Linked DNA regions of Drosophila melanogaster. The protein of the gene in region 1 interacts with the protein of each later gene in a pairwise test. Each region holds a gene or a part of one and is shown on either strand. Other genes may lie near its edges.

Region 1 (5,410 bases):
TCTTTGGCTTCAACGGCTCTCACTCACCTTCGCTGCCATTGGGCCGGGATGCAGCCTTGGCCAAGCAGCGCGGACAGGATGCGGTTAGATCGATGAGACTGTGCTCCGGAGCGGCGAAGGGCAGATCTTTGTAAACGAACGTGGTTGGCGTGGGCGGGTCTGTGAGTGTGGTTGGTTTTGGTTGATTTGGTTGGCGATTTATTTTAGGTAATCGTATGGGAGTGGGTGTGTATTAGATTAGCCGCTGGCCGTAAATACTATATATATATGTATAGATGTACCCGTCCGCTTGTGACTCATAAAGGCTTTAATTGTCCTGCTTGCGAATGCCATTACTCATGAAGGCTTTGTAAGGAATTGCGACTAATCGGCCGACATGTGATCAGACCTGTAGCTACATTCTATATCTTATCTGATTGTACTTTTTGGCAATTTAGATATTTTCGAATGCGCCTCCTCTCCGCCCCCGCCGGCACAAGCACATTGACAAATCCATTAATAACCATAATTGACAAATTGCTCGGCGAGTGAAAAGGAAGAAAGCTAGCGAAATGACCTCGAGTCACGCAATCAGGATATCGAGTGGGGAATTCGAATCGTGTCCCAAGGAATTACGTAAGTTTCATTGAAGACGTGACTCTCGTGAGGCGGGGGACCTTCTGGCCAAATACTCAGATATATGTATATACTCGTACTATCTATAGTATGCTGGCTGTCGCACTTGCCTGATTTTAAAAATACCCCTAGCATATATTGTACGTATAGTATAGGGATTCTTTCTGTTGGTCGCTAGCGGCAAGTAAATATTTTGATTTATTTTCGTTGCTTCGAGAAAACTTGGTATCGAACTTGACAGTGCTCGGATAATGAGATATGTGTGTGTGTGGACTCGGAAAATGCTTGCATTGTAAGACTCCTCTTCTCTTATCTCCTCTGCTAAGTTAACTAGCAAGTTATTCTTTGGTCTCCCGGTCGGTTGCACCACCGCCTGCTATCTATACTTACCCTCTTTCTCGGTCAGATCGGAGAACTTCACACCGCCACTAGATATTCGGATGGTTTGGGGGAGAAACAGAGAGAAAGACAAGCGGGAATTAGCATCATTCACATGAAATTCTATTTGTATTCACTAGATCAAGTATTTCAAAGTTCAAGAGCATCGAGAATGGAACTCGAATGGAATTAAGTTCGTATCGGCATGGTCATCGTCACAGGTAAAAGACGAGCGGCAGGCAAGGCTACTTGGTCCAATCTCAGGTGGCAAACTCCTGAGCGGCTCCTTTCGCTTTGATTGCCTAGCATTGCATTGATTACGTTAATTTCTTTTTTTTTTTTTTGAGTGTAAGAGTGTGTGTGGAGAGGGAATTTACCTGAGTAAAACAGTGGCCGTTTCAGGCACGCGGAATACCTGAAAATATTTAACATGCTCATTGCTTTGTTTCGAGTTTTCGGCACAATAGAATTGTAATGAGGGGAATCGTATCTAAAGGTAATCCCGCTATCGCCATGGCTTCACTTCCTCCTCTACTTACAGAGCGGCCCGCGGCCCAAAGCAATCGCTAACTTGCCTTAGTCTAGGATCGGCATACCCATTTCCCATTTCCCATTCCCCCAATAGAATCCACCCACGACACTCACCTTCCATCCAAGGTTTTCGAAGAAAGTGCACAAGCGGGACTGTCCCGTCGTCTTTCCGCCGCAAGGCCCTGAAAAAACAACGCATAATGTATTCATTAGTTTTATTTGTTTATTGGCAAACGGGCTAAGGTTACATTCTTCAAATCTATACTGCTTGTATTGTCAGAAAAAAGGGGAGAAAGGTGCGCTCAAACTTGTTGGAAAATTCCCGTAAAATGTTTTATAGCTCAATTGAAATGTGCCGAGCTAGTGCGGAAAATATTGCTAAAAAGTTTAAAACGAAAACTTGCTGGTTTCTAAAAATACATTTTAAAAAGAACCACGTTCCTTTAGCATGGTTGTATTAATTAACTAAACAAATTCGCACGTGCTTGCAGTTTACATAAATTAAAATCTGAACCAGTAAATTGGGTTTGTAAATGCCTTAACATATCGTTAGACAACTAAATACGTTTTAGGTACACCATTAAAAAATTAATGAATTCTATGAAAAACTATCAACGATAACGCTTATTTTAAAACAACTTTAAAATTGATGAGATGAAAGAACATGTATTAGAAGCTATACTCTATCTATCTATCTATCAGTTGGATAAGATATGTGGTGGCTCTAGGTCGCCATGGTCTTGTTCATTGCTTGAATCGACGAGGCGGAAACGAATCCATTCGATTTGTGTCCCAAATTCCAGCAAATCAAGTGCACTTGAGTTTCCCGCCGCTGTGCATATCACTCGATTAGGTCTGCGGACTGACCCTGAAGGCAATTACGCCCATTGCTGAATGCATTGCGCAGCGATCTGGAGAAATCGATTCCGAATGCACGCTTAAAAAGAGTCACGTTCGTCATTCAAACGATAAGAAATTCCTTGAATGGGTCCTTACTGGGATTCCCAAAGGGATTTTCGTCAATGTAACACACGTGGCGATGTGCCTGTCTTTTATCAGCCTCTTCCGAAAATTATTAGAGCACTCGGGCGGAGGAAGCCCGCACCGTAGGCGATAATACTATAAGTAGTATGTGTGGGGTAGATAGGCCCGTCAATACATCAATGCTTTCGTTTTTTTTTTGTTTTTTTTTTTTTTTTGCGCTTCTAATCACAGCCATAACTTGGGCCCAAATTAAATGATTAGACCACGCGCCCAACCGCCGCTCATATGATGGTCGAGCAAAAACAGGTTTCCTATGAATTAATTCTTCGCATATGAATTGTAAATAGTTTTTGGCGAGGGTCTTTGAAGCGCCGACTGGCCGCAAAAGCCGGTAGCCACATGAATACAAAGAACGAAATATGATAGAGCTACCCCACTTGAAAGGTGGCGAAAGAGCTTGGGAAGCTGCGCGCAGGACATAATCTCTACCCATTGGTTGAAATTCGCGACCTTGACACAAATCGTAAACAAATCGCAATCGGGTGGGTGTATGGGCCACGAGGATGCGAGTGAACGAGGACACTTGTAACAGATACACAGCAAACCCAGATAGCTAACTTAGATATACATTCGTTTTGGGGGAAAATTAAAACTCACCGCCAGTGAGGACGATTTTGTAGACTCGTTTATCTTTCGGTGACACCGAACCCATTCTGTTCAGCTTCAAGCTGGGCATGGCGCCTGGTTTCGGTGAGCTCGACTTTCTGATCTCGACCTGCTGCTGCTGCTCCGGTTCGTCCTGGTGCCGTTGCTGCTCCTGACCATTACTGGTGCTGGCCATTACCGACTGCTGTCCGTTGCTGAGGAGGGTGGCCATGTCTTCGACTTCGGGAATTTGGTATTGCGTGTTTGTTTTTTGGGAGAGCAACCGATTCGCTGTGTGGTGGCACGCAGAGAACTCTTCTACGCGCGGTGCACGTGCCGTTTAAGGTTATGCCTGTGGAACTCGGGCAACTCCTGTGGCTCCTCGTGCTTTTCTGCCGACCTGGTCTCGATCCTGGTCTATGAATCCTGGAGATCCAGCTGGTGGCTCGGACTCGTGCGCTTTGCAATTTAAATGACGCACTGGCGCGCTGAAATCATTCCCAGAATTTGGATTGCGCGGGATGCTATCAGAAAGTCTGATGACGGAGCAGGAGGAACTTTACAAGTTTAAGTAGACGGCAGCGTTGCACGCTACTTTCACAATCTGTACCACATTCGATTGTTTGGGCAATATCAAAGTTTATTCGACTTGGGATGGTATTGCATTTTTACTAGTTGACACCGCATCCGTTAATTACACAAGCGAATAACAGAATCTTGTGGAATACCTGTGCCGACGGGGTCTTATACTGTTGGAATGAAATGCGGCCGCATTTGGATTGAGGGAAAACGGTGAAATTTTATGCAAATGGTCACACTAATATGAACAGTGATATAATTTAATAACTTTAAGTTAAAATAAACGCAATTATAAATATGTACAACAAATATATGTATAGATACATTGTTTACTTCTTTGGATATTAAAAACTCATAAAATGGTTTTTTTTTTATAAAAATGTATTTCGAATTGGCTTGCTTCAAAATTGTATTTTTTTTATTTAAAACATACACAGATAATGTGAGTTGAAAGTTTTTTAATTTAATTTAAGCAGATGGTGCTATAACATTCTGATTAAAGTTCTTTTATGCTAATTAGAACAGTGCATATTGTTTTAAGTGCCTCCCAACTTAATTATAAAAAATGAAATACACTATCGATAGCCAACTGTGCAATCGATAGCGTGTCATCTCTGACTCAAATGCACTCGAATGCAGCATGACCGTTTATGCCAGTTATCGATAATTCCACGGCCACACTGCTCAAATGTTCAGTTCTAAATTTAAAGCGTAGTTTGTCGCACACGAAACGATGCGCGAGTGTAATCGACTGCAATAATTAAACAAATCGGCAGCGTGCCACAACTAGTGAAATTGCAATAGCCTAGCGGGGAAAATTGACGAGCAGTTGAATTAGCAAAGGAACAAACATTTTCACAAACCACGTAACGTAACACATGTGGGTGCGTGTGTGTGTGGGTGCGAGCGAGAGGCAGTGTGTGTCAAAATGACAGCAGTAGCAACAACAACAATAGAAACAGAAGCAGCAGAAATCAAATGAACAACAACAGCTTAGTTAACCAGCTGTGCGAGGTCGCTTCAGACCCTCCTCCCACCTTTCCCACAGAAAACTGAAAAACCAAAACCACATTTGACAAAAGTAACAAAATTGTTCTGTTCCCTGTGGCAGGCAAGATCAAGCACCAAATTGTTAGTTACGTTATCAAAACTCAAAACTCATCGAGAGTGTTATGAACATACTAAATCCAGGCAAATTCAAGTGTATCGTATTTGACCAACTGCGTCACACTTGGACATTTCTTTTGTTTATCTGCGACTTCCTGGCGAAGATTTACAGGACGCCTCGTATAACTGCCCACCAGGAGCAGCTGGCCAACCATAATAATAACAACAACAATAATAACGATCTGATCATGGAACAGGACATGCCAGAGGAGGAAGTGGGTCAGCCAGAGGAGGCTCTGCCGCAGCAGGACAACGGTGAGGTTGTCGACCGTTTCAATGCCATTCAGGCTGCCGTGGAGCTCATGGACGCAGCCAGCGATTTGGACGAGGAAGAGGAGGAAGAAGACGACGACGTGGACGTGGATGTGGACTACGGCGATACAGATTCGGAGTCAGAATTCGAAGAGATGTACTCCGACGAGTGGACCAGTTCCAGCGATGAGCTGGACGAGGGTACAGAGCTATCTAAGAGTGTCTTGAATGTCTTCCTCTCGTCGGATAAACAGCAATC
Region 2 (4,808 bases), on another chromosome or scaffold:
TACGTCAGAGTACATTTCCACTCCCGCTCTCACACTTTCAGGTTCTCCACTCTCTCTTAGCGTGCTCGCACTCCCAGTCTGGCCCCCCCTCCTCACGTGACCAATATAATTCTGTTCCTTTAACAATGAAATTAAAACGAAATAGTTATTATACAGAGAAGAGCTAGAAATCTTGTTTACATACCTCAGTCGGAAAGCTTAGAGCATAAAGTACACTTTGTTGAAAATATACAGCAGTTTTTTAGGCACATTAAACAGAAAATATGTGCGGTCGCACGTGTTTAAAGTTGCCAGAGCGAGTGCAACTCAATGACTGAGCATGCGGTCCGAACATTGCAGAGATCTGGACTCTCCTCCGTTTGGCGGAGCGGCAAAAACCGTATCTTTGCGAGAGACATTCCGCTCTTTCTCTCGCGATCTAAACCGACTTCCCACGTTCCGATTCCGATCGTGGTGGTATTCGTTCGCGGTATGGGATTTATTTTCGGATCGAGAGTAAATATTCTCTCGCTAAAGCAGCTATAACTGGTTTAACATGCCGAAAAACACAAATCGCATTACCACCTAATCTGAGCTGAAACTGGTTTGATATGTACACATACATATATATAAAGCTATTTTTGCTCAAATTATATCTAGTGCTTAATTTAACGTTTACCACATTTAAGTGGGACCCTGTTGGTTATTCCACTCTATAAACTCTTTTCGCATATTACAATTATTTACACATTTTGGGTCTTGACTCTCAAAGGCAGGACACACGAACATTTTAATTGTAGATTACATATAAAAACTAAACTTTATTTTTGTGGCGTCAATAAGATCATAGATCGAAATCCTCGTTCTGAGGCGGATTTAAAACTGATTTTTCAACTTCAGTAAGTAGTCCAATGGCCCGATAGTTATCATTTAACATGGCGTACTCCTGTAAGACCTTCACGTAGGCCAAGGCCATATTTTTACAGTCGATGGATTTCAGTGAATTTTGTAAGGAAGCGACTACTTTGGGGTCCACATCGTCTTGACTGGTCTCATTTTCCTCCTGTCATTGAGTCATTTATCGTTACGTTAGTTCTATTACAGTCCAAGGACCTGTTTACTTACCTCAACTGCTGCCGTGTCGTGAGATTCAACAGTCTAAAAAAAAACATTCCAAAATTAAACACATTTTTCAGGTTGAAGAAACAACTAACCTCCTTGATCTCATCTTTTAAGGTCGTTTCCTTTTCCAATGACCCAATTTCCTCTTCATCGGTAAATTCACCATGCTAAGAAAATTAATAATAAGTGCTAATGTTACTGTTGATCTACTTGTACACACCCACCTCTATCTCTATTTTAATTATAGCTTCTTCAGAATCCGTACGCACGCGTACTTCTAATTTTTTCGACTTCGCCTGCAATAATAGTATTAATTTATGTTGCGACTTTTCAATAGTGTCATACCATTATTGGCGTTTTGTTGGCTTTCTTATTTCCTGCCGCTTTTGCTTTTTCATCATCAGACCATTTTTTACACACCTTACAAAGTTTGGATGGACGATTCTTAGTCAGCTTTCTTAGGTATTCACACCTCTTACAGCCACTTTTAATTAGACCGCTTTGTTGCTAGGATTAGTTTTATATTTACTAGCATTTAACTTATCCTTTATATGTTTGGCTATACTCACCAAGCTTACAGCTTCCTTCCACTTGTTGGTTTTTGCATTTAACATATTTCTAGGTTTCTAAAAAAGCATATCGAGTTCAGTCGAAATTCGATCAGAATTCGATGAGAGTTTTCATGAAAACATGGATGGATATTGGAAGCGCAATGAAAATATGTATAAGTTCTTTTGTAACGGTTCTTACATTGATCAGCTTTGGTTTCTCAGTAAGTTGCTCAGTTTTGTCCATCTTGGCCTCCGTCAGCTGGACCAGGCGATCCCGCCACCTGCGGCAGATTCTCTTGGTCTTGCGCTGTTCCTGCACCAGTGAGATTGAGCTGCCCACTTGGAACTCGCGCTGTGTGGGATCGGTCTTTGCCTGGATTTTGTTCCTCATCTCCACCATTTGCTCTATGTATTGTTTGACCTTGATGATTTCGGCATCCTGCAGGCCAATCAGAATGTCCCTGTACTTCCCAATAAGTCCTTTGAAACGTATCACTTGCATGGCAAGCATCATGGACTGCGCCTTGTAGGACGTACGCTTCGAGTTATTCTTCTCCTTCTGGATGACAGTGCGCAGCTGATCGAGCTCGCCATAGGTATCATTAAGGTAGCGGATGGCATTACGAAGATTTGACTCCGCTGTGGCAAAGGCGGTAGCATCCGGTGGACGAAATCCTGGCGGGGCAGGACCCAGTGCAAATAACCGGGACTGCAAGTTGTCCGATAAATTGGATTCCTTTTCCATAAATTTAACAAAACTTAGACTTCCACAATATGCTTTTTTGTAGACTTCAGATTGGTATTGCCCATCCGATGCATTTAGGGTTGCAATTTCGAAGTTATCGATAAAGTTTGCTTCATTTGATCAATATTGCATAATACTATAACTTTTTATTAACTGTATTACATGTTTTCACGATACTAGTTAATTCTTTTCAATTATGTTTGAATTTTCTATTTTGTGCAACCGAAGGTCTTTTCTTGAACCTTTAGTGTCATATTGGTGCTGCCAGATTTTTCGGTTTTTGTCAATTTCCAAGACGAACTTGCTTACAGATCGGCGTTGATCTCGGCAGGATTCACTTTGTTACTCTTCAAAATACTAATAAGATTTCAGAAATGTTGGTTTTTCTTGTGAAATTCCTTTAGATTGTTGTAACTATAGGTTTTAGAAAACGGTATTGCCACAGCGCAATATTTTAGCCAATACCCAAGCCAGATTTGTTTAGAACCAGATTCATTTTTCAGTGGTGTTAGCAAGTGCATGAACCATATTTAAATAAAGTAAATTAAAGTATATATATTATAAAATATTAAAATCTTAAATATAGAGGTATAAATTAGGTATGTGCCTTATCTTATCTTTGCTTTTCCAGTAGATTACGTGCTTGTTTATAAGGACACTACGTTTGATCCACCTCGAAGTCCTTGATCTGGGCTGGATATTGAATGGCGTGCTCCACCTGTATTAGCAGTCCTATGGCCCTGAAATTATCATGGATCATGGCGTACTCCTGGAGCGCTCTTAGGTGTCTCAATGCCTCTTCGTCGTTGCTGATGGAGATCTCGGCCGCAGACTCTGACAAATCATTAGTATTGGGTTCGGCGGCATTAAAGACTGTAAACTGTTCCCCATCCCGCTGCCGATCCGTTTGCACTTCGTAGTCCTTCTGGATCTTGATATCGACATCATCCAATGGCTGCTTTCGTTTGCGATACGTACGCATTTGGCGGGGAATAACTGTGCTGACAGTGGTGCCCATAGACAGCATCCTGCCTTTCTGGATACCGGTCTCCAAACTGACCACCGCTTCATCGAAATCATTGATGGAAAGTTCCTGCGGCGGTGGGACAGGGTCATCCTTTAGAATTTCGGACATCTCGTCGTAGAACTGCCAGTTTGGATGGAAATGCGGTACCTTCGCCAGGAGCTTGCTCCTTATGCTATAGTAGGTCTTCTTCAGGTTCCTAAATTTTCGATCCAGCTGAACTGCATCGATATCTGTCATTCCCTGGCTTTCAAGGGCAACGACCATTTCCCCCCAAATGTCCTTGATCTTTTTTTTCGGATCCCGAAAATCAGCTTGGCGTTCATTGTAAAGGGACAATAAAAGTCGGGTGTTGGATGTACACCACTTCCTTTCGTAAGCTGGCTTATTGTGAGTATATATATAGTTTTCTTCTTGAATTTATGTTTTTTACTCACACTTTGTATCCATTGTTTACAATAGCTATTCAGTTGATGACGAATAAGTTTTGTTTCCCAGGCTGCCAGTTCTTTCGGACGGCGTAAGAGAAAGGTATCATGATCCAAACATATGTGTTTCGATTTTTCTCTATCGATAACTATCGAAAAGGTTGCACGAAACAAAGATGGGAATAGGCTTTCGTTTTTTGAAAATGGATTTTTTGCCTAATCTATATCAATACTCGCTACCGAAGAGAACATTTATTTTATATAAATACTCATCTTAGCCTCATTTAATTGCCATTATGTAGTTTTTGAATTTAAAAATCTCGCAGTAAGGATTTAGTGAGTACTTGCCGCAGGTTGAGACCTCCCGCAACTTAATTATAGAAAGTTAATATTGAAATGGACCTACATACATTACAAATAAGCACATAACTATTACTGTGCTGCCATCTACCGGCAATGCGACTTTCATTTACAGACGCTAGATGTCGCCCAAACAGTTCGTCGATAGGGGCGCAGTAGTATAAATGTAAAATAACCGGGTACCGTATACTCGAGTATACACAGTAAAAAAAAGTTTAATAAACCAATATTGATTTTTGTAGTAATAAATTTGTTAAGCAAATTATATAAGATTATCAGTGATTTCTATTATAATCTTTTATAAACTAATCTGTAAGTTTTAGGTAAGAAAAAAGTTAGTCAAAAAGGCTAAGTCCTATCGTGGACTATCTATGCCCAATTTTCCGTATCAACCCAATCGAGCGTCTCCTAAATTTAATTTCCGCCACAAATAAAAAGGGAATTTACATATGCACAATTGGCACTTTTTTTCTAGAAACACCTGCGCACCGAGGTGGATGTGTGAAAAACTTGGTTAGAATATCTCGAGAAGCGCACTTCCGTTTTGGCCTAGATAATAACCGTGAAGGGCTAACTCGGTAGTTCGTAAAGCAGTCAGT
Region 3 (5,730 bases), on another chromosome or scaffold:
CAAATCGAATTTAGTGGTTGGTTCATAAACTTTTATGCTGTATCTGGCACTTCATTTTGAGCGACAATAAACGTCATTTAATTTCAAGTGTCAATAAAGTGAATCGAGTGATTAGGTATACGTTATGTGGTTATCTAGGAGTGTGCGACAGAACGTAAATTAGGCAGACGCCGGGGCGGTACCCATTCAGCAGTCGAGAATCCGTAGACCTATGCCAAAATATTTGGTTTCTCTCCAGGTTGGAGGCACTGAAGTTCAGGTCTTGATAAGGCAGCCCGGCCCGAATCCCAGTGCCGAGCTTCAGACACACACACCTAATTACACCTGCGATAGCGTTCTGGCGCAAAACAAATCATTGCCGAATTAATCGAGAGATTCGTATGGTGATTGGTATTATCAGAAGATTGACTACTGATTTGGCGCACTCATGGCAGTTAAATGGTGCTACACGGCCTGGTTTGCCACTTAGTCGTTCGCGAAATTCGGACTACTTTAAAGGTGATCTCGGAAGAATGCGACCAATCGATTTTGGGGGTAAGCTGGTGAAGAGTTGGCTACCCAAGGCTAGTAACTTATTTCGGGTCCGTATCCTAGGTCTCTGGACCGTTCTGCTGCTTATCGGAGGTCTTCAAACTGTGGTAGCCCAGTTGACGAATGTGTGCCAAAATCAGGAAGATGGCACTAGACTTCCGTTGGCCACCCACTGTTCCCGATTTGTCGTTTGTCTGAAGGGAGAGGTTTCCATTATCGGTAGCTGCCCTCGTGGACTCCATTTCAATCGGGAGCTGAGGGAGTGCGACTTCCAGTGGCGAGCTAATTGCTTGGGACTCTCGGCCTTTGCCGAAGTGGATGATCAGTGTACCTGCGATTGCTGTGCTGAGGAGTGCCAGGATCCCATTGACGATATCGATGAAACTACCACGGCGGTCACCGAGGACTGCGATCCGGATACCACCACTTCAGCCACGGAACCCTCCGATTCCACGGAGCCGACGGATGCTACAACGGATTTCGATGACCCCAACAACTCCTCCAACACCACGCCTTCGAGTCCAAGTGTGGTGCCCTCGTATTGCAAAAGTTCCCGCACGGATTGCGTTAATCAGAAAACTGGCACCTATATAGATATGCCCGGGATCTGCGTGAGGTTCATCCAATGCAACAATGGTTGTGCCGAGGAATTCCAGTGTCCCTCCGGTCTGTACTTCAACACGGCGATAGACGATTGCGATTACTGGTGGAATGTGGACTGTACCCCCACCGCCGATGGCTCCACTGAGATCGAGGGACCATCGGGCACCACCTGCTCCAGTCAGGGCGAATGCGCTGGTAAGAGGGATGGCTACATGATTGCGGACCCCAATTCGAATGGATTCTTCGTCTGCCAATGCCAGTGCCCCATTGCGATGCCCTGTTCCGAGGGTCTGAAGTTCAACGAGACGGCCCAAGTGTGTGATTGGATTAAGGACACTAAATCCGCAATTGGTTCCTCGGCGGTTCAATGTTACGGTGACCTCGTCTACAACGCCACCTTAGACCAGTGCGACTATCCTGAAAACTATGTGCCCAAGGTGGAGTGCAATACCACCAGCACCGTGTGCCAAAACCAGCCGGAGGGAGAACTCTTTCCGGTGGAAGGCAAGTGCAACATGTTCTACAAGTGTAACTTCAACTGCGCCGTCGAGCAATATTGTCCGAACAACTTGGTCTACAACCCAAATACCGAAGAATGTGAATACCCCCAGGACTATGTTTGCCCGTGGGAGTATACCCCACCCTCTGGTCCCAATGCAGGACCTTCGGGAATCGCCTGCGAGAGTAATGGCCGTTGCATGGGACAACGTGAGGGTACCTACTTAAAGTCCACCACAAATTGTAGCAATTACGTCGTCTGCCAGTGTGAATGCGAGGTCGAGATGGAGTGCGCCGATGGCTTGTATTGGGACGAAAGCTTGCAGACCTGCAATTATAAGAACCAAGTGACCTGCACTCTTTAAATGACCGATTGGCAAATAAAGAAAGTGATTATCAAAGCAACTACTACTACTAGGATGTAGCCTAATCTGCCCATTTATTAATGAAACATTGGATCAGTAAATCATTTTAATCAGTTTTGTGGCGGGAATATGCCAACAGGTGTCGGCACTCAATGAGATTGGCAAGAGCTTATCGAACATAAATACCCATTTTTTTTTTTTTAATAAAGAAGGGGTATGTTTCCTGTAGGAATTTGTAGCTGGTCCAACCACTGCTATCACAATATAAAGCTTCAAAATAGTTAGTTCACATAGGTAAGTACCTATCAGTAGTTGTTCTTCTTTATACATATATGCACTATGGCGCATTGAAATTTCAATTTCAATCGATCGTTAAGACTTCTCATATATGAGCATCTTATAGCAACTGAAGAATAATTTCTTTTGGACTCTTTGATTTCGCGGATTCACAATGAACCGCTGAGTTTTATAAATAGTGACAATATCGATTGCTTGTATTACTACTGTATATATATGCTGATAGTATCACGGATGTTTCGACATTATCACCGCCACATGCTCTGATGCAGGAAGAGACATTCAATTATTTTAATTGCCGGTAAATATAAAAGGCGATATCTTCGAGCGAAGATTCATCAGTGAGCATTCGATACGCAGAGTGCAAAGATGGCCCAATCCAGAACTAAACACTATGGTAAGGACGGAGCAATGATAATTGGGAGGATGATTGTTGATCCGCGGTTTTTACCCAGGAGTGGCCCTGTGCCTAATAATTTCCCTCTTTATGGGATCGTCAAGTGCTGTGTGCTGCTCGGAGGGCGACACAAAAGTGGATGCGGATGATTGTACCAAGTATCTGATCTGCTGTCACGGCGAATTTGTATCCAAGTCGTGTGCAAGCGGATCCTATTGGAATTCGGAGTTAAATATCTGTGTCGTGGATGATGGTCAATGCAGACCTCCAACCTGTGTGGATGGAGAAATTACACCGAATCCAGATGACTGTGCCGGCTATTTAGAGTGCGTGGACGGAATCATAGTGATCCTGACCTGTCCAGATGGCGATTACTTCAATTCGACCCTAAATCGGTGCGTTGAAGATACCTGCGGCGTGTGCAACGGAAATGGAACGACATGCACTGATGGCGAACTTAAGGTGGACCCCACCAATTGCGCAGGCTACTTGGCTTGCTCGAACGGTAACTGGGTGAGCAAGCAGTGCGCTGACGGAGCTTACTTCAATGCCATACTGGAGACTTGTGTACAAGACGACGAGGGAATATGCGTCAATTGTAAAGAGGGATCTACAAAACCCTTGGCCGACTGTACCATGTATGAGATCTGTTCCGGTGGCAAGTATGTGACCAAGTCCTGCGACAGTGGTTACTACTGGAACAGCCAATCAGAGGTCTGCGATGTGGATAATGGTCAGTGCAATGGAAATGGAACGACATGCACTGATGGCGAACTTAAGGTGGACCCCACCAATTGCGCAGGCTACTTGGCTTGCTCGAACGGTAACTGGGTGAGCAAGCAGTGCGCCGACGGAGCTTACTTCAATGTCACTCTGGAGACTTGTGTACAAGACGACGAGGGAATATGTGTCAATTGTAAAGAGGGATCTACAAAACCCTTGGCCGACTGTACCATGTATGAGATCTGTTCCGGTGGCAAGTATGTGACCAAGTCCTGCGACAGTGGTTACTACTGGAACAGCCAATCAGAGGTCTGCGATGTGGATAATGGTCAGTGCAATGGAAATGGAACGACATGCACTGATGGCGAACTTAAGGTGGACCCCACCAATTGCGCAGGCTACTTGGCTTGCTCGAACGGTAACTGGGTGAGCAAGCAGTGCGCCGACGGAGCTTACTTCAATGCCACACTGGAGACTTGTGTACAAGACGACGAGGGAATATGTGTCAATTGTAAAGAGGGATCTACAAAACCCTTGGCCGACTGTACCATGTATGAGATCTGTTCCGGTGGCAAGTATGTGACCAAGTCCTGCGACAGTGGTTACTACTGGAACAGCCAATCAGAGGTCTGCGATGTGGATAATGGTCAGTGCAATGGAAATGGAACGACATGCACTGATGGCGAACTTAAGGTGGACCCCACCAATTGCGCAGGCTACTTGGCTTGCTCGAACGGTAACTGGGTGAGCAAGCAGTGCGCCGACGGAGCTTACTTCAATGCCACACTGGAGACTTGTGTACAAGACGACGAGGGAATATGTGTCAATTGTAAAGAGGGATCTACAAAACCCTTGGCCGACTGTACCATGTATGAGATCTGTTCCGGTGGCAAGTATGTGACCAAGTCCTGCGACAGTGGTTACTACTGGAACAGCCAGTCAGAGGTCTGCGATGTGGATAATGGTCAGTGCAACGGAAATGGAACGACATGCACTGAGAATGAGGTTAAGGTGAATCCTGCGGACTGCGCCGGATACCTACAGTGCATAAACGGAGTCTTTGTGGCCAGGAAGTGCTCCGCTACGCAGTTCTTCAATACCACACTGAAGGAATGCGAGGTCGACACAGAGAATGTGTGCATTCCCAAAACCTGCGATCCCGACTGCTGCGATGTGCCCAACAATTCCATCTGGCCCGTGGAGAAAAATTGCTCCGCCTTCTACCAGTGCGTAAATGGTAACAAATATGAGCAGCGGTGCTCCAACAACCTGCAATACAATTCAATAATAGAGCAGTGCGATTATCCCGAAAATGTTCAATGCGACGATGGATCTGCACCGCCAAGTGGTCCGATTGCCGGACCCTCGGGAACTTATTGCGAGAGCCACGGACGATGCGTTGGCCAGCGGGATGGTACCATGTTCGCCGATGCCAGCGGAGATTGTAGTTCTAATTATGTAGTCTGCCAGTGCGAGTGTGAGGTGAACTTCACTTGTTCCTCTGGACTTTTGTTCAATTTGCAGGTCAAATCCTGCGATTGGCCCGATAATGTTAAGTGCTAAGTGGTTTCAATAAACAATATTTAAAGCAGAGTATTAAACGAAAAGATTTTCGTTTTTCTATAGATAAAAACTACTTATTCTAAGCAGAGAATAGAAAATATTCCCCTTATTTTTAGTACTATATGATGTGGCTATATTTTCTCTGTTTAGGCTTTGGACTATTAAAAATTATTATAATTCAAGCACTTTATTGGGGTCTTAAAAAAATATAGTTAGAATCGACGTTTTTTTGACTTGCGCACAGGTTTCTTTGACTTGGATTTGCTTTCATTTAGCTTCGTCTGGCATTTTGCAATTTTGGGATAATCGCATCGTGATGTGGCTATATTGAAATGCAGGCCAGTTGGGCAGTCCATTACCAAAAACATCATGTTGCTGCAGAGCATAAACTTGCCACAATCGCTGCGATGAGCAACAAGAGAGTTTTCCTTTTCATCTGAACACACTCCTCCCGTGGTGGCAGGACCATCTGATTCTTTATTTTCTCGGGTTCCACCCGAACACTTGGCTTCTGAGGCCTTCATGCAAATGCGACGAGTTGGACTAAAATGTTGTTTGTCAGGACAAGAGCGCAGATGGGGCTTTTTTGCTTTGCAGACATAATATTCCTGGCAGGACCCGTTCTTTGTAAGCATCACTCCATCCTTCTTGCCAGCACACATTTTGTCAAGGGTTGTAGGACGCGGCTTTTTCGTCGCTTTGACAGTAACGGGAGGATCAGTTTTGGCCATTTCCTCATCATCGTCTTCGTCG

The links. The genes of interacting proteins can lie anywhere in the genome.
Region 2: the proteins of Ttd14 (region 1) and CkIIalpha-i3 interact in a two-hybrid assay, tested with the Drosophila melanogaster proteins (one large-scale study listed by BioGRID).
Region 3: the proteins of Ttd14 (region 1) and CG17826 interact in a two-hybrid assay, tested with the Drosophila melanogaster proteins (one large-scale study listed by BioGRID).

The regions. Positions count from the first base shown.
Region 1 is NT_033778.4:18,436,570-18,441,979, forward strand, and holds the start of Ttd14 (TRPL translocation defect 14), read right to left. Parts: upstream 3,907-5,410; 5' UTR 3,386-3,906; coding exon 3,166-3,385; intron 1,707-3,165; coding exon 1,639-1,706; intron 1,409-1,638; coding exon 1,371-1,408; intron 1,044-1,370; coding exon 1,006-1,043; intron 160-1,005; coding exon 28-159; intron 1-27. Other genes in the region: slim (scruin like at the midline), read left to right, coding at 4,905-5,410.
Region 2 is NT_037436.4:707,887-712,694, forward strand, and holds CkIIalpha-i3 (CKII-alpha subunit interactor-3), read right to left. Parts: upstream 2,476-4,808; 5' UTR 2,472-2,475; coding exon 2,424-2,471; exon of another isoform or gene 2,398-2,423; coding exon of another isoform or gene 2,362-2,397; coding exon 1,852-2,361; intron 1,728-1,851; coding exon 1,671-1,727; intron 1,609-1,670; coding exon 1,447-1,608; intron 1,398-1,446; coding exon 1,326-1,397; intron 1,269-1,325; coding exon 1,194-1,268; intron 1,138-1,193; coding exon 1,105-1,137; intron 1,043-1,104; coding exon 824-1,042; 3' UTR 715-823; downstream 1-714. Other genes in the region: CG13895 (uncharacterized protein), read right to left, coding at 4-15; CG13896 (uncharacterized protein), read right to left, coding at 3,056-3,801, 3,859-3,871.
Region 3 is NT_037436.4:11,947,210-11,952,939, forward strand, and holds CG17826 (uncharacterized protein), read left to right. Parts: upstream 1-2,629; 5' UTR 2,630-2,663; coding exon 2,664-2,691; intron 2,692-2,749; coding exon 2,750-4,977; 3' UTR 4,978-5,016; downstream 5,017-5,730. Other genes in the region: CG7252 (uncharacterized protein), read left to right, coding at 513-534, 595-1,997; obst-G (obstructor-G), read right to left, coding at 5,190-5,730.